3 linked regions of the Callithrix jacchus genome follow. The protein of the gene in region 2 binds, or shares a complex with, the protein of the main gene of each other region. Links are inferred from orthologs where the notes say so. Each region holds a gene or a part of one and is shown on either strand. Other genes may lie near its edges.

Evidence for each region. The genes of interacting proteins can lie anywhere in the genome.
Region 1: the proteins of GDF11 (region 2) and FST are in contact, whole or in part, in a crystal structure (PDB 5JHW), measured with the Homo sapiens proteins. The link is inferred for Callithrix jacchus from reciprocal best matches to the Homo sapiens genes GDF11 and FST. Residues at the interface, in NP_005802.1 of Homo sapiens: Asn299, Leu300, Gly301, Leu302, Glu310, Arg312, Asp328, Trp329, Ile331, Ala332, Lys334, Arg335, Tyr336, Lys337, Tyr347, Met348, Phe349, Met350, Pro354, His357, Gln361, Ile380, Asn381, Leu383, Phe385, Asp387, Lys388, Gln389, Gln390, Ile391; in NP_037541.1 of Homo sapiens: Leu34, Arg35, Gln43, Val44, Leu45, Tyr46, Lys47, Thr48, Arg60, Ser62, Asp72, Asn73, Leu75, Phe76, Met79, Ile80, Leu134, Asp135, Arg149, Gln153, Pro154, Glu155, Val180, Val181, Asp182, Gln183, Tyr188, Val190, Thr191, Asn193.
Region 3: the proteins of GDF11 (region 2) and TGFBR1 are in contact, whole or in part, in a crystal structure (PDB 6MAC), measured with the Homo sapiens proteins. The link is inferred for Callithrix jacchus from reciprocal best matches to the Homo sapiens genes GDF11 and TGFBR1. Residues at the interface, in NP_005802.1 of Homo sapiens: Phe322, Ala324, Phe325, Gly326, Trp327, Trp329, Ile330, Met382, Tyr384, Phe385, Asn386, Asp387, Ile392, Ile396, Pro397, Met399; in NP_004603.1 of Homo sapiens: Ile78, Pro79, Asp81, Arg82, Phe84, Ala87, Pro88, Ser89, Ser90, Lys91.

Annotation. Positions count from the first base shown.
Region 1 is NC_133503.1:156,370,226-156,377,209, forward strand, and holds the start of FST (follistatin), read right to left. Parts: upstream 4,517-6,984; 5' UTR 4,354-4,516; coding exon 4,269-4,353; intron 2,385-4,268; coding exon 2,193-2,384; intron 1,780-2,192; coding exon 1,561-1,779; intron 1,203-1,560; coding exon 978-1,202; intron 319-977; coding exon 88-318; intron 1-87. UniProt on the Homo sapiens protein: Multifunctional regulatory protein whose primary function is to antagonize members of the transforming growth factor beta (TGF-beta) superfamily including activin, myostatin, GDF11 or bone morphogenetic proteins (BMPs).
Region 2 is NC_133510.1:63,909,765-63,916,834, reverse strand, and holds the start of GDF11 (growth/differentiation factor 11), read left to right. Parts: upstream 1-2,560; 5' UTR 2,561-2,751; coding exon 2,752-3,199; intron 3,200-3,835; exon of another isoform or gene 3,836-3,960; intron 3,961-5,642; exon of another isoform or gene 5,643-5,781; intron 5,782-7,070. UniProt on the Homo sapiens protein: Secreted signal that acts globally to regulate anterior/posterior axial patterning during development. May play critical roles in patterning both mesodermal and neural tissues. It is required for proper vertebral patterning and orofacial development.
Region 3 is NC_133502.1:147,221,254-147,228,363, forward strand, and holds the start of TGFBR1 (TGF-beta receptor type-1), read left to right. Parts: upstream 1-2,594; 5' UTR 2,595-2,682; coding exon 2,683-2,779; intron 2,780-7,110. UniProt on the Homo sapiens protein: Transmembrane serine/threonine kinase forming with the TGF-beta type II serine/threonine kinase receptor, TGFBR2, the non-promiscuous receptor for the TGF-beta cytokines TGFB1, TGFB2 and TGFB3.

The DNA.
Region 1 (6,984 bases), on a different chromosome or scaffold from region 2:
GGAGATCTGCTTGCTTTCTAAGTGCCCATTCCCTAGGGGTTGCCCGGGAAAGCCTTAAATGGCAGCAAGGTTAAAAATCGCACTTACAGTTGCAAGATCCGGAGTGCTTTACTTCCAGCAGCACACCTGAGGAGCAGGCAGCTTCCTTCATAGCACACTCACTGGCATAAGTGGCATTGTCACTGGCACAGACAGGCTCATCCGACTTACTGTCAGGGCACTGCTCATCACAGAGGGAACACCGGCCTCTCCCAACCTTGAAATCCCATAAACATTTTTTCCCACCAGTGCACTGGATATCTTCACAGGACTTTGCTTCTAGGATACAATACATTTGTGATGAGTAAACTGACTTCCCCATATCCCCCTTTTCTCCCTTTCTCCTAAACATAATTTCTATGTTATTACAGATGGGCTAATGGAGCTTTTACGCAAAAATGCTGGATAATAAAACTGAAACTCAAATGCACACACACACATACACACACAAAAATCCCCTGCAGTTTCTTACATACTACATTAGTGTATGAAAATAGTATTTTTTTTGGAACAAGATGTTACAATATTCTTGAGTTAAATATGTATCTTATTATTTCCCACAAGTGGGATATTTTGCAAAAGAAAGAATTCCATCAATTACTAGAATCTGATAACAGATTTCAGGAATTGCTAAGTAATTATTTTTCGCTTCCAGCAAGTCTGGCACTTAAAAAAATGTGTAAAATTGAGTGAGTTCTAAGTTTTCTAAGATGAAATACTGTTTTTTGCTTCCTGCTGGCATTTAAATATATGTCAATGCCTCCAGAAGAACGGTTTCCATGAGGAATGCTGTGGTCACAACAGTTTCCCCAAATTGCAGCGTGTTTCTCCCTATGGTGTCTGGGGATGGCTTGGGCTTTACTTATTAGTTAACCCCACAGTTTAACACCAGAACTAGCCTGTTTTCACTTTTTCTTTCCTCAATCCAGAATACCTACTGATACACTTTCCCTCATAGGCTAATCCAATAGATCTGCCCAGCAGGCAGGTAGCCTTTCTCAGGTGGCAGGCACTGGAGTAGGTGACTCCATCATTCCCACAGATATATTGCTCAGAGGAAGTGGGCTCTGGGCAAATCCGATTACAGGTCACACAGTAGGCATTATTGGTCTGGTCCACCACACACGTGGAGCTGCCTGGACAGAAAACATCCCGACAGGTCTCTGGAACAAAGAAGGAAACACACATGAAAAGGTACCGTCTAGTCGTTAGGGAATGAGCACTTGAAGTTACTAAGGAAATCATGACACTGAAGCATCCAGCTTTCCAAAGGCATTTTGGGAGCCCTGTGGTTTTCAATAGAGAATCTATGACTCTAGGTTAAGAACATTAACGCCCTCAGCGTTCTTAATGAGTCTTGAGAAGTTAGAAAAGGACTCCTTTATTTGGTTTCAGTCTTATTATTATCAGGCTCTTACTGTGGACTACACTATCCCCCAGGGGTCTGCTAGAGGGTCTACTTTAGGTACAAAGCTGGAGGAGGGGCACAGATCCAGTCTTGCTCAACAGGGGAGGACCTACTTTTACATCTGCCTTGGTACTGGACTTCCAGTTCTGGCTGATCTTTACATCTCGCCTTTAAGAGCGCACATTCACTGCGGTAGGTTTTCCCATCCAGCCCGCAGACTGGACCCTTCCAGGTGATGTTGGAACAATCCGGGGCGCAGACGCAGCGCGGTTTGTTCTTCTTGTTCATTCGGCATTTTTTCCCGGGTCCACAGTCCACGTTCTCACACGTTTCTGTGAGTTGGAAACAGGAATGGATTAAAACCAGAGCCAGGCAGTCTGCAGGTCAGCCAGGAGGGCTTCGGGTGCCTTGCGCAATCCTGCAGCCCTGAGTTTGCGCTGGAGGGGCCCAGGCTCTCTCCTAGAAGATTGGGAGGTGGTGAAAGAGTGCGGACCTTGGGCTATGCCCCAAGCCCAGATCTCTCTCGTCAAGGAGCACGGGTTGGCGGGCTTCACCACCACACTTGGCTAAGAAGTCTGGGGTGTTTTGCCTACAGCTTTTAACATGCAGAATTCGAATTTGCAAGGGGAAGAAAGGGGAAGCCCATGAACAAAGCTCTCCAATCCCAAAGCCCAGCCAGGTAGCGGGGAAGCTGAAGGGGTATACGCCCTCTACTGAGGGCCTGCAAGTCGGGAGGGACTCCTACCTTTACAGGGGATGCAGTTGGGGGCGCCCCCATTGAAAATCATCCACTTGAAGAGTGTGTTGTCATTCACGTCCTCCTCGGTCCACGAGGTGCTCAGACGGCCGGTGCTGCAGCACTCCTCCTTGCTCAGTTCGGTCTTGTACAGAACCTGGCAGCGGCCATTCTTGGCTTGACGGAGCCAGCAGTTTCCAGCTGTGAAGAGACAGGGGTGGGGAGGTGGGTGAGTGAGCGGTGGCGGGGCAGGGGGAGGGGGTGGTTAGTAAAGGAGACCCGGCGGTGCGGACGGGAAGGGTGATCACGGAGGAGGGGAAGCGAGAGAGACGCTGGAGAAGCGGGGGGGAAAGTAGGAAATAAATCGAAAGGGGTGGAGGGGTGGGAAAAGAAGGTGGGGGGAAGCCCTGATCCCAAAGATGGGAGGTGGGCGAGAGGGAGGGAGGGAGAGAGGGAGAAGACAGAGCGCCCCAGCCATATCAATGTCAGTTACCAGTGACCCAGACACAACACGTGCAGCTTGCATTGACTTTTACTAGACTGTTTACTTTTATTCGTCCCATTTCATAACCTGCAGCGACTCGAAGAGCAGATTAAAGAACCTGACAAAAACAGGATGCGACGGATGTTTTTACATGTTGGTTTCATGTAGGCGGTACAGGAATTATTTGTGACAGGGGTTAAGAAAGTGGGAGAACGAGAGAGGGGAGAGAGAGACGAGACGGGGGGGCAGAGAGAGAGAGAGAGAGAGAGAGAGAGAGAGAGAGAGAGAGAGAGAGAGAGCAGATCAAGCAAAAGGCACTTGTGAAAAATGAAAGCAAAAAAAGCAACCCAGCCCAGCACGGAGCTACCCCGCGCGGCCTGGAGGCGCAGCCCGCCCGACGGGCCCGTTTTGCAATCCGCCAGACCCGGAGCACGCCTGCGGCCACCGCGATCTTTCGAAATCTCCGAGCGCTGCTTTCCTCCGCGCCCACGTCCAGGCACCAGGCAGCGCCTCTCCCCGAAAGGCGGGCAACCCAGCGCAGTGCCATGCAGACGGGGAGGGGCAGTGGCCAGGAGCGCAGTATACAACACACTTAAAATGTTAACGCTGAAGCAGGGAAAGTAATGCCTTAAAGGGGGCAGGTTTCCTACCATTTCACGGTTATACGTGCCTACTTCATACCTAGCAAGAAATCTTTGCAAGTGATTTATCCCTCTTCCCCCATTTTAAATGTTCGGATTTGGGCCGGGAAGACTTCTCACGAATCACCAATATGACTTTAACAATCATTGGACTGTAAACTGCTATTATTATTTTAAACATTCTGCCCAAAGACTAATTGAAATAAACAAATCTATTTTTTAAAGGCAAGCTTCAGAAATTTGCTGTTAGCCCATTTCAGAATTCAAGTCAGTTATGGGCTGCTCGCTGTTTTACAGAAGGCTAAGAGTCAGAAAGAAGAATGAGGCGGAGGGAAAAAAAACTAAAGTGCTGAAAGCACTTCGGGGTAATAATTTGGCTCCTTTTTTTTCTTTGCGGGGATGGGGGATGGGGTTGGAAGAAGCATCCACTAGGCAGAAAGCTACTTCCCTTGAAAAATTTCAGCACCCACATTTCCAAGTTTGGGCAAAGTTTCTGAAACCACGTCCCCCAGCCTCCGAAGAAAATTTCAGTATATCTCCCCCAACCCCCAGGTTCTCCCCCGCTTTTCTTAAAGTATTCGAAAGATCTGGGAAGGAGAGAAACTGCAAATGGGTCCACTGAAATCTCCAGGCTACTACTGATACTTGCTCCCTTAGTCAGACCCACAGAGGAGATCACATCTAAAGTTATCATGGCCAGAACTTGGAGCATCTAACCCTAACTACTCAGACCCCAGCTCGCTCCTTTTCCTTTTTCAAGATTACCGAGCTCCAAACTCCGTTCCCAGTCCTAAAGTGTCATTGCCTTCAATTTTCCCACTCCTCTCCATCCCGGAGTCCCCAAGTTGGTCCAACATCTTCCGAGAGCAGCGTTGCTCAGAACAGACCAAGTGGAGACCACAGAAAAGTCGACCCCCTTGCCCTCAGTCGAGCCTCCCCAGCGCATCCCCCCTCGCTTACCCTGGGCACTGCGGTCTTCCATGAACTGGCAAAGCAGCAGCAGCAGGAGGCAAAGCCCACCGGGCTGGTGCCTGGCGCGGACCATCCTGGGGGCAGGCGCAGGGCGAGTAGCGCGGCGGTGCCGGGAGCCGGCGCGGTGGCGGGTGGTTCGGGTGAGCGGCGCGCGTCGCAGAGGCCAGCGGCTGAGGGCGCAGCGATCCCGGCTCAACCCCGCGCTCGCCGCCCGCCGCCCGCGCGATTCAATGGACGTCAGAAGCCGGGCGCAGCCGCGCTTTAAATCTAGACGGGGGTCTCCGCGGTTTGCGGTGGGCGGTCTCCCAGTGTGTGGGGCAGTGGGAGGGCGGCCGCGAGCGAGGGTGTGCGCGGCTCCTTGGGGGTGGGGAGCTTTTAAAAGTTCAGTGTGAATCAGGTGACATTTCCCACCTTCTGGAAACCCTTCCCAATTATCTTTCGGAGGTGCCCGAAATCAAAACGACTGGAGGGGAATCGTCGAGTTCTTATTTGCGTAGGAGCGAGAGGGAGGGGGAAGGCGACCGGGGCGGGGGGTGGGGGCGACGCATCGGGGGTGGGGAGTGGGGAAGAACACCCACTTCAAGTTCTGCTCGCCGCCGCTCGCCGGCAGCGCCGGCGCGCCCGGGGTGGCGGGTGTGTGTGTGTGTGTGTGTGTGTGTGTGTCTGTGTGTGAGTGTGTGCGCGCGCGAGTGTGAGAGGGAGGGCGCGGTGGGGGCGTTGGAGGCGACGGCGGGGGGAGCTGGGGGAACCCGGGAGTTAGTCTCCGTGCTGGCGCTCCTCCGCTCCAGAGACTTTGCAAACGCCCGGAGAGCCCCGGGCTGCCCAAATATCCCGCCCCGGGTCTTGTCGGAGAGCGCCGGCCTCGGGGCAGTTCCCGGCCCCCGCAGCCTGGGCGCGGGGCCGGCGGGGTTTTGTGTCTGGGTCTGTGCGTGCCTGACTTTGCGGCCACCCCCAGCTCAGAGTTGTTGCTAGGAACCCCGGCCCCGGCACCTTCCACCCTGGCGGAGCGCTGCCCAGACGCGGCCCTTCGTCTGGGCGAGTCAGAAGCAAACAAAAATGTTTAACACCTCAGGCCCGGCCTCCCCCCGGCACAGTCTCGCCCTCTCCCTTTCTTTTCTCCCCTTTCACTTCGCAGCGTCTGGAGTCGGAGCCCGGAGCGGGGGCGCCGACGTAGGCGGTCTGGCCCCCCTTCCTCCCTTGCCCGGAGACTCCCCAGTTTCTGTCCTGTGTGCCTCTCTCAGTCTCCTCGGCTCCAGCCTCTCTCTCTCTCTCTCTCTCTCACTCTCTCTTTCTCTCTCTGTCGCTCTCTCTCTCGTCTTCTCTCTTTTCGCGGAATAAAAAAGATTGCAACATCCATAATGAACTTCTGTAGCCTCAGTTTATTAAGTACAGTGCCTGGCATTCTTTGCTGAAAGTTGGCGGGTCTCTCATTTATAACATTTTTTGGCACCGCTGAATGAAACTGAGGAGGCGATATTTCCTTTTATATAAAACGATTACTTCACGGAAAATGCTATATTGTTTATTCCAAAGCTGCCTCTTAAATGTCTGTTCTTTTCGCTTCTGAAGCCCGAAGGACAACAGACAGCGAAGTATGCAGACAAGATTCTTGGACATTCGCAGGTCACTGGGATTTGTTCTCCTACGGATTTCAAATCGGCCCTTCTTCCCCCTCCCGCCCCCTGCAACTCCCCTCCCTCTGCCAGACCCTCCCCCAGTCTTCCTCTCGCCCTCCCACCCCCCATCTTCCAGCAACCTTCCCCCCTCCACAACTGCAAATAACTCAGTGATAACAGATTTTTTTCCACCAACTGCAGGAGATAGTGCTAATCTTTTAATAAAAGATCCCATTACAATGGGATCTGTCTGGACAGACTATAATAGATCCCGAAATACAGCCGTGCTAATATTAGAAGACAGTTGTTTGGGTGCCTCTCAGACGGGCCCAAGCCCCCCTTTGAAAGTGGGCATGAATCACAAAGCCCCGCGGCCGCCGCACCTGCACCGCGCGCATTCGGTGCAGCAGGCTGGTAAAAACGGGTGACCTCGCCGCCGCTTTTCGCTTTATAATTACCGTCGTGAGGACGGGAGGGGAGGGGCTCGGGCGGCCCGGGGGAGGCTGGCTTTTTGCTCACTTCAGACGGCTGTGGGGGCTCCACATGCTTCTTAATCTTTCCAGAATCATGTTGTCTCTGTTTCTGTCTCGCTCTATGTCTCTCTCCCCTTCTTTCTTTCCCTCCCTTTCTCTCACCCATTCCCTCTGTTCTCTTTCCCCGACTCCTTTCCCTCTTCTTTCCTTCCCTCCTTCTACCCGGACTCTACCCAGACTCGCCCTCCCTTTTCCCCTTCTCTTTCTTTTCCCGTCTCCTTTTCTCTCTTCCCTCCAACTCATTAATGTAGAGTTGTTTAGTGCCCTCTAATGGCAGACGACATTAACAATTAATAGAAAACTGTCCCCTTTGCAGGAGCCGCCACTCAATGGCAGAGTTCCAAAGCTGAATTTATTTCTTCGTCTTTATTCAGAGAGATGGTATAGTGCTTATACAATGATGTGCTGGAGGAAAAGTTTGTTTTCTCTGCTTCAAGGTTCTCCCCACCTACACCAGGAAAAAGTTAAATGAAAGAGAAGTTAACACGTATTGTTACTTGACTTTTTCAAGCCCCCCCCACTTTTAATGGCAGCAAGAGACACAGCTTCTTTTTA
Region 2 (7,070 bases):
GGTATAAAGAGGTTTAATAACTTGTCCAAGTTCACACAACCAGAAAAGGGAGAGAGCTGCGACTTGAGCCCAGCCAGCCTACTACTAGTCTAGAAGCTAAGCGATTCATCTCCATATCTCATAGAATGGTGCAGATGTATCTGGGAGAAGCAGCTGCTCTAGACCTGGAGTCAGGAAAGGATTCTTGGATGGCATCCATACTGAGGCCTGAAGAAAGAGTAAATCTGGCCAAGAGACTGGTGGGTGGGAAGGAGTGGAAGTAGTAGGGGAGTTGTTCTAGGAAGAAGAAACAACCTGTTCAAAGATTCAGAAATGATCAAGGGGACGAGGGTGGAACATGACATTCAGGCTTCTAGCCTGGATGACTGCCATTCACTAAAATGAAAAGCTGCAGGATGGGACACATTTTAGGGAGAAAGAAGGAGTTCTCTGTTTAACCTGTGATGTCTGAAGTGCCTTGAAACATCCAGATTAAGATAGGAGGCATCTGGCCTAGAGTTCTGGCTGATTCTGTTTGTTTATCTAGTGTTCTTTCTTTCTCTGTTTTTTTGTTTGTTTTTGTTTTAGGTGGAGTCTTGCTCTGCAGTCCAGGCTAGAGTGCAGTGGCACGATCTTGGCTCACTGCAACCTCTGCCTCCCAGGTTCAAGTAATTTTCCTGCCTCAGCCTCCTGAGAAGCTGGAACTACACCAGTTGGGATAGCCGAGCCACCGCACTAGGCTCAGTTTTGTATTTTCAGTAGAGACGGGATTTCACCATGTTGGCCAGGCTGGTTTTGAACTCCTGACCTCAGGTGATCTGCCTTTCTTGGCCTGCCACAGGCTGGGATTACAGGCCCGAGCCACCTCACTGGGCCCAAACATTTTCAATTTGCCTATTGCTCCAGGGCTTTCAGATCCAGAAATAAGCCTGGAAAACCTGAAGTCAGAAGTTAGGCACCTTCAAGACATTTTTTTTTTGAGATGGAGTTTTGCTGTTGTTACCCAGACTGGAGTGCAATGGCGCTATCTCGGCTCACCGCAACCTCTGCATCCTGGGTTCCAGCAATTCTGCCTCAGCCTCCCGAGTAGCTGGGACTACAGGCGCGCACCACCATTCCCAGCTAATTTTTTATATTTTTAGTAGAGACAGGTTTCACCTTGTTGACCAGGATGGTCTCAATCTCTTGACCTCGTGATCCACCTGCCTCGGCCTCCCAAAGTGCTGGGATTACAGACTTGAGCCACCGCGCCCGGCAAGACAGTTTTTTAAATTTTAGTACTCTTCTACTCTGCCCTCTGGCTGTGCCCAGATTCACACCTGAAGACTAGTGTTGGTCCCACATCTGCATTTCATCTCGTGCTTCTGAGTGCAGACTCCTCTCCCATCCTCACCCTTGCAACCTCCAGCCCCTTCTCAGACTTCTAAGACCCTGCAGATCCAAAAACATAGCTAGAAATCCAGAGATCCAGATAATTCTTCAAGTATAGCAGCCTCTAGCCGGCTCCTCCCACCCCTTCCCCAGTGGCCTCCAGCTCCTGCCTTTTCCACCCGGCTGATTCCCTTAGTCCTGTTAAGCTCCAATTTCAAGCTCACAGTCTTCCCAGCTCTATGTCTTCCCGTTTCAGTTCTTCACACCACCTCTCCACCTTCTTAGGTCGTCCCTGGCCTCTTCCTCTCTTAGTCCCCTTAATCCCCCTGATGAGCCTAGCCTGATGCTTCCTTCCATGGCTTCTTTGAGCATCTTTGAGCTACCTCTGGTAGCTAGAGCTCCTCTAGGCTCAAGTTCTCCACCTCTGTCCCCTGGGCTCTCTGTGCTCCCACCAAGGCTGACTCTGGTGCCTCCTTCTCTGAGGAGTTTCTGCCTTTCCTCCCCCTAACCCCCTACCAGTCCCCTGCACCTGCCTCCTCAGGGCCTCCCTTGGTATCTCCCTGTCTATGCCCCCTCTCCTCTCCTGTCCTGATTTCTCTCCACTGCCCCCTTCCCCGTCTTTCCCAGGGCACTGTTCTGTCCTGTCAGTTCCTCTGCTCTTGTTCCCATCTCCTGACCCTTAATCTTTGTGATCTGGCTCCGTAGACCCCTGTCTCCCCCTGTCTAGTGGTACTCCTCTGCTAACCATTTTTATCTCCACTCTAACTCTCCCACTAGCTGTCCCAGTCTTTCTCCTCCTTGGTTCTGTGTCTCCCACAGACACACTGTTTCCCTCCCTAGCTAGGTCTCTCTGCGTCTTTTCCATAACTCTTCTTTTCCTCCTTTGTCTCTCCCTCTCTCTCCTCCTCTTCCTATCTGTCTGTCTCTTTCCCCTTTATCTCTCTGATTCTCCTTGGTCTCTCTGGCTCTGACTTTCCCTCTATATCCGCCCCCCACCCCACCCCTCATATCTCTGTCTCTTCATCTCTCTTTGGCGCGCGCTCGCTCGCTCTCTCTCTCTCTCTCTCTCTCTATTCCTCCGCTCTCTCCGGCTCCCTCTCTCGCCTCGAATGACAGCGCTGCCTCTTTTGTTGGCTCCGCAGCCAATCGCGGCCGCTGACGACACGGGGGCCGGGGCTATAAAGGGCCTGGCCCGGACTCGGGCCCCCCCAGCCGCCCGCCCCGGCCGCCCGCCCGCCCCGCCCGCGCGCCCGCCGCCCCCGGCCCCCCGGGTCCCCCCTCGGCCGGGCAGCCCCCAATCCCGCGCCGCCCGGACCCCCTCCTCTTCCCTCCCTCCTCCCCCCGCCCCCTCCCCGCGGGACTCCGGCGTCCCCGCCCCCCAGTCCTCCCCTCCCCTCCAGCATGGTGCTCGCGGCCCCGCTGCTGCTGGGCTTCCTGCTCCTCGCCCTGGAGCTGCGGCCCCGGGGGGAGGCGGCCGAGGGCCCCGCGGCGGCGGCGGCGGCGGCGGCGGCGGCGGCGGCGGCGGCAGGGGTCGTGGGGGAGCGCTCCAGCCGGCCAGCCGCGTCCGTAGCGCCCGAGCCGGACGGCTGCCCCGTGTGCGTGTGGCGGCAGCACAGCCGCGAGCTGCGCCTGGAGAGCATCAAGTCGCAGATCTTGAGCAAACTGCGGCTCAAGGAGGCGCCCAACATCAGCCGCGAGGTGGTGAAGCAGCTGCTGCCCAAGGCGCCGCCGCTGCAGCAGATCCTGGACCTACACGACTTCCAGGGCGACGCGCTGCAGCCCGAGGACTTCCTGGAGGAGGACGAGTACCACGCCACTACCGAGACCATCATTAGCATGGCCCAGGAAAGTAAGTGGGCTGCGGGGCGCGAGCAGTGGGGTGCTGGCTCTGGCCCCCACGAAGGGCGCCTTCTGCTTCTAAGCGGGGCACTCCCTGCTGCCCCTGCCCGGAAGCTTTTTCTGCTAAAACTTGACGAATTAGGGAGCAGGGGCTACTCCATAGAAGTTTTTCGAGCAGTGGAGATGGGCTGCAAAGTTGTATGCACGCCCAGTTCCCGAAGGTTGGAGCGGGGGGGTAAATGGGGCGGGTTTCGAGATACTGCCTTCCACCCCAGTATGCGAAAAAGACCCTTGTTGGAGTCCGGGGACGCTGGGGCTGGGCAGCTAGTCTGTCCTGAAGAGCCGTGATGGGGAGGCTGGAGAACAGAATCCGGAGGCTTCGGGAACCCGGCAACCCCAGCTATGCTCTCTGCCTCCCAATGGCCCTGGCGCTGACTCCTCACTCCGTGCTCTGTCGGCATCGTGTCCATCGGGTGCAGAGAACTGTGTGCTCTGCTCTCTTCCTTTCCCAGGAATAGGGTCCCATAACCTTTACACCTCCTGGCAGCCCAGCTGGCACGCTTTTCATCCTGAGCCTTGTCTCATACCGGGTATCGCAAGGAGCCGGAAAAACTGTGCCTTATTGATACCGACCGAGCTCAGAGAACTCAACTCCATTGCGCTGGGGGCTAAGGACACTCATTGGCTACTCAAACCTTAGTGTTCCATCCCTTATTCGCCCACTCGTTCTGGACTTGAGCGATAGGAAGACCTAGGACTACCTATCTATAGGTAAGACTAGATAGGTAGTCCTAGGTCTTCCTATCTCTCAAGTCCTATCTAGTACTACCACAGCTGGACTTGAGAGATAGGAAGACCTAGGAAAAAAAGATAAAGAAATAGATGGGGGAGCGGGAACCCAGGCATCGGAGTCCCTGACCAAAAGGAAGATGAACATATAATAGACATGAGCTGCTTTGAAATTTTATGGCCTGGAAAATCCAAGGGAATACTACACCCCGCCACCTTTCCAGCTCTCCCTAGGGTCAGGTGACTCCTTCTTCTCCCCCACCCCACTGAGGTCTCCCCCTCCGCCCAACTCCAGGGAACCAGGCCTCTCTTATTCCCTAGCGGTTTGGCAAGGTCCCTCCCCACACACACACCCCCCACAGCCCCCTGCAACACACACACAGTTTGGTTTTATGACTGTGAACAGAAGACGGGGGAGACTGGTTTATTGGCAGATGGGTCATAAAAAGCTGGGGGCTGAGGGGCGTCCCAGTGGCCAACCCCCATGGAAGAGGCACAGGAACCCAGGTGTGCATCTGGGAGGCTGAGTGCCTCACATTGCCACTGGTATTTCTGCAGACCTCAATTCCACAGGACTTGGTCAAGGCTGTTAAATTCAAAGAACCAGGAAACTAACTGGGTGTGGGGGTGGGAGGCATGGGGCATCTGGTCTTGGATTCCTCAGTTTCCCTTCTATTCTTAAGGCTTCTGCTTATGGAAGCTAGGGTCAGTCTCAGATCGACTGAGGGCAGAGGGAGGGAGTGGTGTTTCTAGGAAACAGAGTTATAGAGGAATTCAGATCAAGAGTTTACTGGAAGAAGAAGGTTACATAGGGAAAAGATACTCTAGTCTATATGGTGTAGTGTGTGTGAAGATTTCCAGGATGGGTGATGGGGCTGTGGATTTCCCTTTGCCCCTAAATATCCTTAGCATCCCTTAACCAACAGGCCTGAGCCCACCAGAGTTAGCTCTGGTAATAGCAATACAGGGAAGTGAAGGGACCCTGCCTACAGGAGTTGGGCTGTGCAGGTGAGGCCTGGGTAGGTGGGGAGGGGACACCAGCTGGTGGAATCCCATCCTAACTTCCACTGCCGCCACCCAGGACTGGTACAATTAGGGAACTGTGTCTCCGGCCAGGTATTGTGCGTCCCCTTTAAGAGCCTAGCTGCACTCTTAAGAGAGGGAGGGGGAGTGGAGGGGAGGGGAGGGAGAGAGGGGAAAAGGAAAAAGAGACTTTTATAGTCTAATCCCCAGGGACCCGCTTTAATAAGAGACTTGTGCTCTGCTAATCGGGGGAGGTGTTTGTCAGCAGAGATGGCCTCCATTCCCTTCCCCCTCCGTCCCCTCCCCCAGCCCTCAACCCTGGACCCCAGCCCCCACCTCTCCTAGGCTGCTCTGCCTGCCCTAGTTCCCTCTACCCTCTCAGGCTCTCCCACCGAGGCTTCATCCTGGGAACCCAGCCCCCTGCCCTTCTGGGAACCAAGCCCAGCCCCTGAGTTTCTCTCTCATCCCCACACCAAGAGGCCCCTGCCCTCTCAGCCCAACCTCCTGCCCTTAGGCCTTCCAGCCAGGGTTGGGAGTGTGTGTGTTGGGGGGTTAGGGTGGGGGGAAGGGGAGGAGGTGGTGTGCAGGGAGGGGGTTGGGCATTTGCTGAAAATAGTGCAATGACCTCTCTCTCCCACCAGCGCCGCCTACTAAACCTGACCTGCTGCCTGCCACCAGCCAGATCAATTCAACACAGATGTGGCCCCTTTTCCTCCCCATCAGAGCTCGGCATATGTGTGTTGGGGACTCACTAAAGCCCGGTTTCCCTCTGTGGCTCTACCTGCTTCTCCTTTGTTCCTCCGTCCGTACCCTTTCTATCCTTTCTCTCCTTTACCCCACTAGGTTTAGCTTCCTCCCACCTTTAGCTTTCTACACGGCACCCACTCCTTTCTATCCCTGCCCCTTGCACCAGGATTCTACAACTCCCAAACTTATTCTCCCCTTGCCGTGATCATCCCCTGGGTCTTTCCACTCTGTCATCTATTTCTCTGCCTATCTCTACCAATCTGCCTTCAACTCTAACAGTCTCTTCTCTATTATCTCCCTCACCATCTCCAGTCTCCCCCCCTTGGCTCTTCTCCTTGCTTTTTTCTTTCTCCCTATGTCCTGCCCCCTTGTAGCACTGACTGTCCCCATGTCTACTGGGGGACAAGTATATAGAATCAAAGACTTAGATGTAGCCCTCATCTTCAAACCCTGGGTCAGCTTACGTAGGGGGAGGGTTATGTTTAGAGCTCAGTAGAGAATGCGAAAATAGTAGTAGCTTCTCAATAAATGTTGGTTTGTTCATTTTGTTTTCACATTCTCTAGTTAATGCTCAGCACTCATGTGAGGCAAGAATTATTACTATCTGTATCACACTGCGAAGTTTGGTAAGGTTAGATAGTGGTTAATAAGGAATTAGGCAGTGATTAAACCCACTTCAATTACAGCCAAAGAACAGAATTCAGTTGCCAGGAAGAACTTTCAGGCACTTGCCTGTATAATTTAAGATTGGGAGTTTAGGGAGTTCATTCAACATGTATTTATTGTCTGGCACTATGTGAGGCACTAAAGCTACAATGGTGAGCAAAACAGACACAGTATCAACAACACAGCGTGTACTCTCGTGGAGATCAGTACCTAATGGCAAGAAAATAGACAATTCCTATGGTGAAATTAGGTAGAGTATGCTACTTGTGATATTGCTTGTCACTCCCCATGTCACTAGTAGCTTCTCTACCCCAGCTACTTCTCATCTCTGAATTTTCACTCCCCAAACCCTACTCCATTGCACCATCACCGAAGCTCCAGCCAGTAGAACAACTGGGAGGACTACTACAGCCCTGGAACCTCAGAATAATCAAGGGGAAAAAAAGCTATTGAGGCTTTGAGTATCATATCCTGGATATATGAAGTTTATTCAGCACTTTCCTCCTCATCTCACTTAGAAGGTCCTCTCTCTCCCAGGGTAGGGGTGGGGAAGAGCTGACAGGACATCTTAAGTCTGTCCTGATTTTGCAGAACTCATAAGACATGGAGAGGATACTTAAAGGCCTAGACTTCCTGACCCTGCTTATATGGCTCTG
Region 3 (7,110 bases), on a different chromosome or scaffold from region 2:
TAAACAACAAGTAAGTCTGTAAAGACTGAAAGGAATTAACACTTATGATAGATTCCTTATGTGCAATAGCTCATTTAGACCTCACAACAATATCTCCCTTTACCCTGGAGATGCTAAATCTCAAGAGTGATCAAATAGTGTTCACAGACCCACAGCTACTGAGTGGCAGAGCCAGAATTTCAAGTAGGGTCTGCAGGCCTCCAAAGCCAGCGGCTTCTTTCCACTGCCCATCCAACCTTTCTCAAAAGGCAAATAAGGTCATGCATTTTTATTTACTGAATTTTAAGTATACCAGTCTTTTGAAGCTGGCCTAGTGCCACCTGCAACAGAATTAACTATGATGTCTATTACAAATGCAGATTCCTGAACCTTCTCCAGAAGAACTGAAGCAGAATTGCTAAGACCCAGTGAGACCCAAGAATCTGCATTATTAAAAGCTCTCCAGGTAATTTGGAGACACTTTACAATTTGGGAACCATGATTTTAAACTATTAATTTAGTGTTCCATTCTAGTGTAGTTTATTTATGGATCTGTTGTTCATGGAAATTTCCTCCTAGTATCAGGATGTTAAAATTTAAAAACCGGTCTGTTTTTCCTTTCTGTTGAATCTACTCAATTCCATGGAAAATGTTAAGGAACTGGAGGTGTGATTAACACTGATTAATCTAGGCTCTGTACGTCAAGGGCACAGACTAACATGAACACACATGCTGATTAGAATCATACGGAGCTGGAAGGGGATGGGCAAAGAAATGGCATTAACTAAATATTTACTATGTTCCAGACACTGTACCAGACACATTACATCATCTAAGGAGCCCAAGACAAGTGATTCAATCCCTTTCATTTATAAACGGGGTAGGTACTATTATTATTTACATTTTAGAGATGAGGAAGCTAAAGGCCAAAGAAAAACAGTCACTTTGAGATCATTCATTCATTCACACAATCAAAATCTCATTAGCTCTTATCTTATGCAAGACATTGCAAATAGAGCAGCAAAAAGGCAATCTAGAGACCTCTTGGCACAAAGCCCACCAAGTCTCCATTGAAGAAACTGGAACCGAGAGGGCAAATTGGGACTGGAGCCTGCCAGAAACCGTCTTTCTGGAATCCTTCAGTCTGAACAAGAGGGGAGTTCGCTGCTGAGGCTGCTGGCGCTGCAGTCTAGAGCAAGTTGCAGGCCTCTGAGCCTGCTGGAGACTCTGAAAGGTTAGCTGACTTTGCCGAAGTAGTGTCCCAGCCAGGAGGGAGAAAGCACGCAGGTCTCAGATCCCAGCTCCAATATCCACGTCCTTTCCCTTTTCATCTCCAGGAAGGAAACCTTCACAGGTGGGGAAAATGCTCACCCAGTGACTCTGAAGTAGTGCACAAGTTGACATTAGAGGCTGGTTCTGATTCCTGCTATCAAGGTTTATTTAATTCCAAGCTCAAATGACACAGGAAATAAAACTTTCTCCTTAAAAGGTTCTGAGGGAAAATATTCTCTGTTCTACGTAACAGCCTCCTTGGCTGTGTTTGTGTCTGAAGAAAGGACTAGTCTGACAGGAAGAATTACAAATCTGGAGCTCATTTTGGCGTCGCGGAGGAAAGGTGGGTGGAGCGTCTCGCAGTAAATTAGGAATTCGGAATGAAAACGTAGTTTATTTGGGTTTTTAGTGACACCTCAGGATTATTATACAGGAGTGTCAGACACAGCTCAAAGTAATGACTGCTCCCCCTCCACCCCGCGGGAGCTGGGTTCTAAGAAGGGGGAACCCCTCCTTTGAGGGGTTGGGGTGGGGACCCTCCCTTTCCAACCTGGATCAGGAAGGGGGATGAGGCGAGAGCGGCTTGGATCCCCATCCTGTGCCTGTTCCGGAGTGAGGCGGGAGGCTATTTGGGGGTGTGTTTGGGGTCAGGATCTGGGTCTGAGGCTGGGATCTGAGGACTTCCTAGGTTTGGAATTGGGTGGGGGAGCTAGGTTCGGGATGACCGCTCCAAGCATGAGGAAACAGGAGACTGAGTCGCATGTGAAGGGCGCGGAGGAAAGATCTTCGGGGGAATGCTGAAGTTGATGCGTGGACTTGGAGAGGGGAAGTTGAAGTGCATGCAGGGCCTGGCGCTGCAGCGGATCTGAGTGGCCTATGCAGGGATTGCCGGTGCGGAGCAGTGAATGGGGTCAGCGTGGGGCTGAAGCAGTACGAGATCTTCCGCGCCTAGAGGAGGTTAGAAGAAAAGAGAGTCGAGCGGCCACAGCCTTTTCCCGAAAGCGACTCACACAGACACACCCTTCGCTCTACCCGGCCCTCCGGGGCTAGCGGCTCGGCGGCGCTGGGTCTGGCCGATCCCGCCCCCACACCGCCTCGCGGAGCCGGGAGCAGCTCTGGCCGGGGCAGGGGTCTGGCGGCCCGTCCCCCGGGGAGCGTGGGGCGTGGCCAGAGGCCGGGGCGCGCGGCTCCGGATTGGCTGCCCGGTGGGCCCGCGGGCGGGGCTCGTGGCTGGGTCCCGCTCGGCCGCTCGCGGCGGCGGGGAGGCGGGGCCGGCGGGAGCCCGGCAGCCAATGGACGCACGTCCCCCGAGCAGTTACAAAGGGCCGAAGCGGGGCCGCCGCGGCGGCGGGGGAGGTGGGGCGAGGCGAGGTTTGCTGGGGTGAGGCGGCGGCCGGGCCGGGCCGGGCCACAGGCGGTGGCGGCGGGACCATGGAGGCGGCGGCCGCTGCTCCGCGTCCCCGACTGCTCCTCCTTGTGCTGGCGGCGGCAGCGGCGGCGGCGGCGCTGCTGCTCCCGGGGGCGACGGGTGAGCGGCAGCGCGGCGCGGCGGGCGGGCGGGCGACTGCGGGGCGCGCGGGCCGGGCCCGGCCTCCGGCTCGCTACTGCTCTTTCTCAAACATGGCGCGGGGCCGGGGGCGCAGGTGGCAGCGCCGGGGCCCGGACCGGGCTCTCGTGGCCCCAACCGGGCTCTCGTGGCCCCGAGCGGCTCGGTGGCAGCCGGGCGAACCGCAAGCGGGGAGCGGAGGCGGGGCAGGGGCGTGTGTCCGGGCACGGGTGAACGTGCCGGGCAGCCTGAGGCCGTCCGGCTCGGGACTCCCCCGGGGAGGTGGAGTCGGACGGAGTCGTCCGAGGGCCGGGGCTGCCCTGTGGGGTGTGCGTGGGTTAGGGCCAGGGGCGGAGGATGCGAGACGGGCGGGGACTGGCAGAGCGGTGGCTGCCGACCGCCGCCGCCCCCCAGGGAACGGCGTGGTCTTGGGGTCCCGGGCGGGTTTTGGGGTTGGGGGGAAGGCGGCTCCCGGGCGGGGTGTGAGCTCCGAGCCGCGAGGGCTTCCCGGGGTGGGAGTCGGGGGTCGACATGTGGTGAGACCCCCGGGTCTGCAAGCTGCCCTGACTCCCGCCCGGCCCGACCCTGCTGGAAGGGTCTGCTCCTTCAGCCAAGGGGGCTTTGTGTGAGAAGAAGGAAGCGTGGAGATGCGCGGAGTATTCCTTCTTTCGTGCGCCTGAGGAGTGTTGAAGTGAGTCCAGTAACCAGAAGGCTACGGATTGTTTTCGTAGTGGAAACTTGAACGTTTGCTCACTCTACAGGGTTTGGAAATTTGGGGAATGACTGTGAATTGATTCAACGCTTTTATTTCCTAGAAGGAACATCACTTGCGATGTTCCTTTTCTTGAGTGACAGTTAATAGTTTGAATGATACATCTGGTAGCTGGTTTTCAAGGAAGAATGTTCGCTGAGTTTTTCCAAGTATTAAATCAGGTCGGGGTAGGTGGTTGGCATCCACAAAGTGATGAGTGGAAAACTTTGTTAGCAGCTGAATTAAGACAGTAGAAACTAAAATCAGAGCCTCAGTCTTAGCAACTAAAATGCAGTGAAATTACATTTCTGTTTCTGAAACTGTACAAAAATGTTGAAAATTCTTTTAAAAATCAAGACTGAAGATGATGATTATAATTAGTCCTAATAGCCTCCGTCTATGTATTATGCATTACTATGATGTAAATGCATAAAGTACACTATTGGATACGTACATTATTTAATCACCACAACCAAACTCTCAGGACTTGTGGCATTTGCCCCACTTTAAAGATTTGAAAAGTGGGGTGCAGACCCCTGGGTCTGCTTAAGTATGCAGTCACTAAGTGCTAAAGCTAGAATTTTCACTCAGATCTCAGTTTCCAAAACCTGTACACACATATATATATAAATATGTATATACACACGCAAACATGTATACATCATACTACCTGGCATAGCCCATTTTTCTTCATCTGATGAGCAACTGGTCTTTATTATTCACTTTTAGATTCTGTCCTCATGATATGAATGTCAGATAGGCTTCATTCTGACTCTTAGCACATTCCTGAGTCCCTTCACGTGGGCCTGCATTAGAGGAAACAATGGATTTTTGACATTGGCCTAGGGAGGAAGGCAAGATAACTGTGTGGACAGATTGGGAGAATCAATATAGTTAGGGGGAAACATAGGTAACATTTCCACACCACTATTAACTTGAATAACATAGTGCCCTCTTTTCCACCAGAAGTAGCACAGGAAGTGTTCATGTATTCAAGTAACAGTAGGTGGACTTAGTTGGATACACAGAACATTGCTCAGTCCATGTCCTGGGGGAGTTTACAGTCTCTGTGGCATGTACACAGTACAAAGCTGTCCAGGTGCATATTACTCTAAGCCCAGACTGCCTCAGCTTCTCTGCCTTTCTTATTGGTTATGATGATGTCTCAGTCCACCCTTAAAATAACATTCTGAAAAAGGTCAAATGCTTTTTTTTCTCTCTGTAATTTTACTTCCCTTTTAAAAAGAGTGCAGTTTCTTATTTTCTGAGTATGTTTTATTGTTCTCTGCCCAACTTCTCTCCCCAACATAGATTTCTCTAGGAAAATTGATTCCTTGTCGCTAGTACACGGTTTAGTACCACTGTGTCTATATGAATATCCCTTGTGAGAATGCTGTTTGCTTCCTTTCTGCCATTTCATAACATTTTTTCTTTGGAAACATGCTCTAAATCCAACTCTTGTTTCTATTAATGCCTCTTGAATGTCTCCTCCTTTCTTGGTATGCAGCCTTCAGCTTAATCCTGCCTGTTATCCTCCAAATCTAGTTGCTTTCCCATGTTTCTCTCTTCTAAGCTTTTCTATGGGCTACTGCCAAACTAATCTTCCTCAGCCATCCCCATAAAGGTTTATATGATTTCCCATTTGTATTCAGCACTTAGAGAAACACTTCAGCAGCTTATGATTGGGGCCATCTCTGAGTATCCTACCAGGAATCTCACTTCTCATTACTGCAGACCTTCAAGCAATTTCTATTTCTCACTGACTCCTGACTGTTCAGCTTTTCACTACACATTTAATTTTGCCCCTTTTTTGGGAGTGTAAGAAGTTCTCAGTCCTGACTTCCTGTACTGGTTTAGTTCTTGAATTCTTTGTCTTCCAGAACTCTGCAACACTTACAGTTTGTGTTGTCCATTTCTACTGTCTGCACTGCAATTTAACTACACTTGAATATGTTGTAGATACCTAGAGGACGAGATTCATGCCATTTCTTTGCTTTATGGCCTCAGAACTTAGCACTGTGTTTTATATTCTATTCCACATAGATGCTTGTTGATTTCTATTTGAGCATTCCTTTAGTATTTATACTGTTTTATCTAAGTCCAGTTTATGCAATATTAACTTATAATTCTGTATAAATAATCAGGAAATATTGTGTGGTGTGGTGAAGGCAAGTGGTTATTAGTCCCACCTTCACCACCAGTTATGCAGAAAATAGGGGCAATACCTGCTTTTGCCTAATTCATGAGATTGTGAAGATCACATGAGAAAGTGGTATTTGAGTTTGAGGTTGCTATTCTGTATTGTTACTAATGATCAGGACTGATATTCAACAAGCAGTTCCCACTGGGCCATGTGTTTTTTGGTTAAACATCCTTTCTGGTTGGTTGGTACCCTTGTAGTGCCAGTTGTTAAATATTTTTAATGTCATCCCTGTAGGGAGGCATTAGTATTCAAAAAGGGAGATGATTAGTGTAGGCTGGAGTGATTGGGGGAGGCTTTCTGGACAGTTTAGGACTTAAGCTGACTTTGAAGGGTGGGTACAATTCAGAGGGGGATTTGATGAGTATGAAAGTTCTCTAAAAGTGTGTCTCCAACTGTACTGGGGCCCCCACTCCAAGGGAGGAAACAAAGCTTTTACTGACTGGCAAGTTACTCTTCAAAGTTAGGTTCCTTATTCTTTACTGTGGGATTTGGATGTATTAACCTCTATCATTTTTCCCCCCAATCCTAAAGGCTATAGTACATGGCTGGAAACAAAGCATAAAAGTAATCAAAGTGGAGTAAATGAGAGAGAATAACATTATAGGATGCCCACTAGGGCTAGGCATTCAGCTGGTGAAAGTCCTAAGTATATTGTCACTTCAATTTACAGATGAAAAAACTCAGATTAGGTGAATTTCTTAGGGTGACAAAGGGCAGAACAGAGACAGGAACTTTGATTTTCTGATTCCAAATCTTGTGCCCTATATTCTGCTTTAAAATGTGAAGGACATGGAGGTGGGCGTGGGACGAGGTTAATGGAGTGACTTACCTAAGTGAAATAGGCCTTGCACTTCACACAATTTATGAAAAGTGAATTCTAAAGGTAGAAGGGAAGGGGAGTGATTAAAGGCTAAAAGTCCTCAAGGGAAAGGTCAGGATTCTTTTTTTTTAATTGCTGATAAAAGGACCTGGTATAATACTGACTGAGAAACATAGGCCTATAGTAGTTTGGAAGGTAGTCTTGGATAAGTACTGTTAATTGAATTGGGTGTAATTAAAAGGCCTTGGTTTAGAATAATAGATGATCTGCTTTGTTATTGGAATTCAGTGAGGAATTGACATGATAAAAATGATCAAGAGGAAGATAAATCTTGTTCTTTATCTTTCAACAGGGGTCTTCCCCACAAGGAAAGGTTCTAGGCCTTAGTTGAAGAGTTACAAGGACTCAGCACCATTCTTATAGTATCATTTTATTGTATCAAATATGTTCATGTGTAATGAATTGAGTTTTGAAAATGCTGTTATCCTGTGGATGGCCCTTTTGATATGAAAATATGTCTCTTCAAACCACAGAGCCCC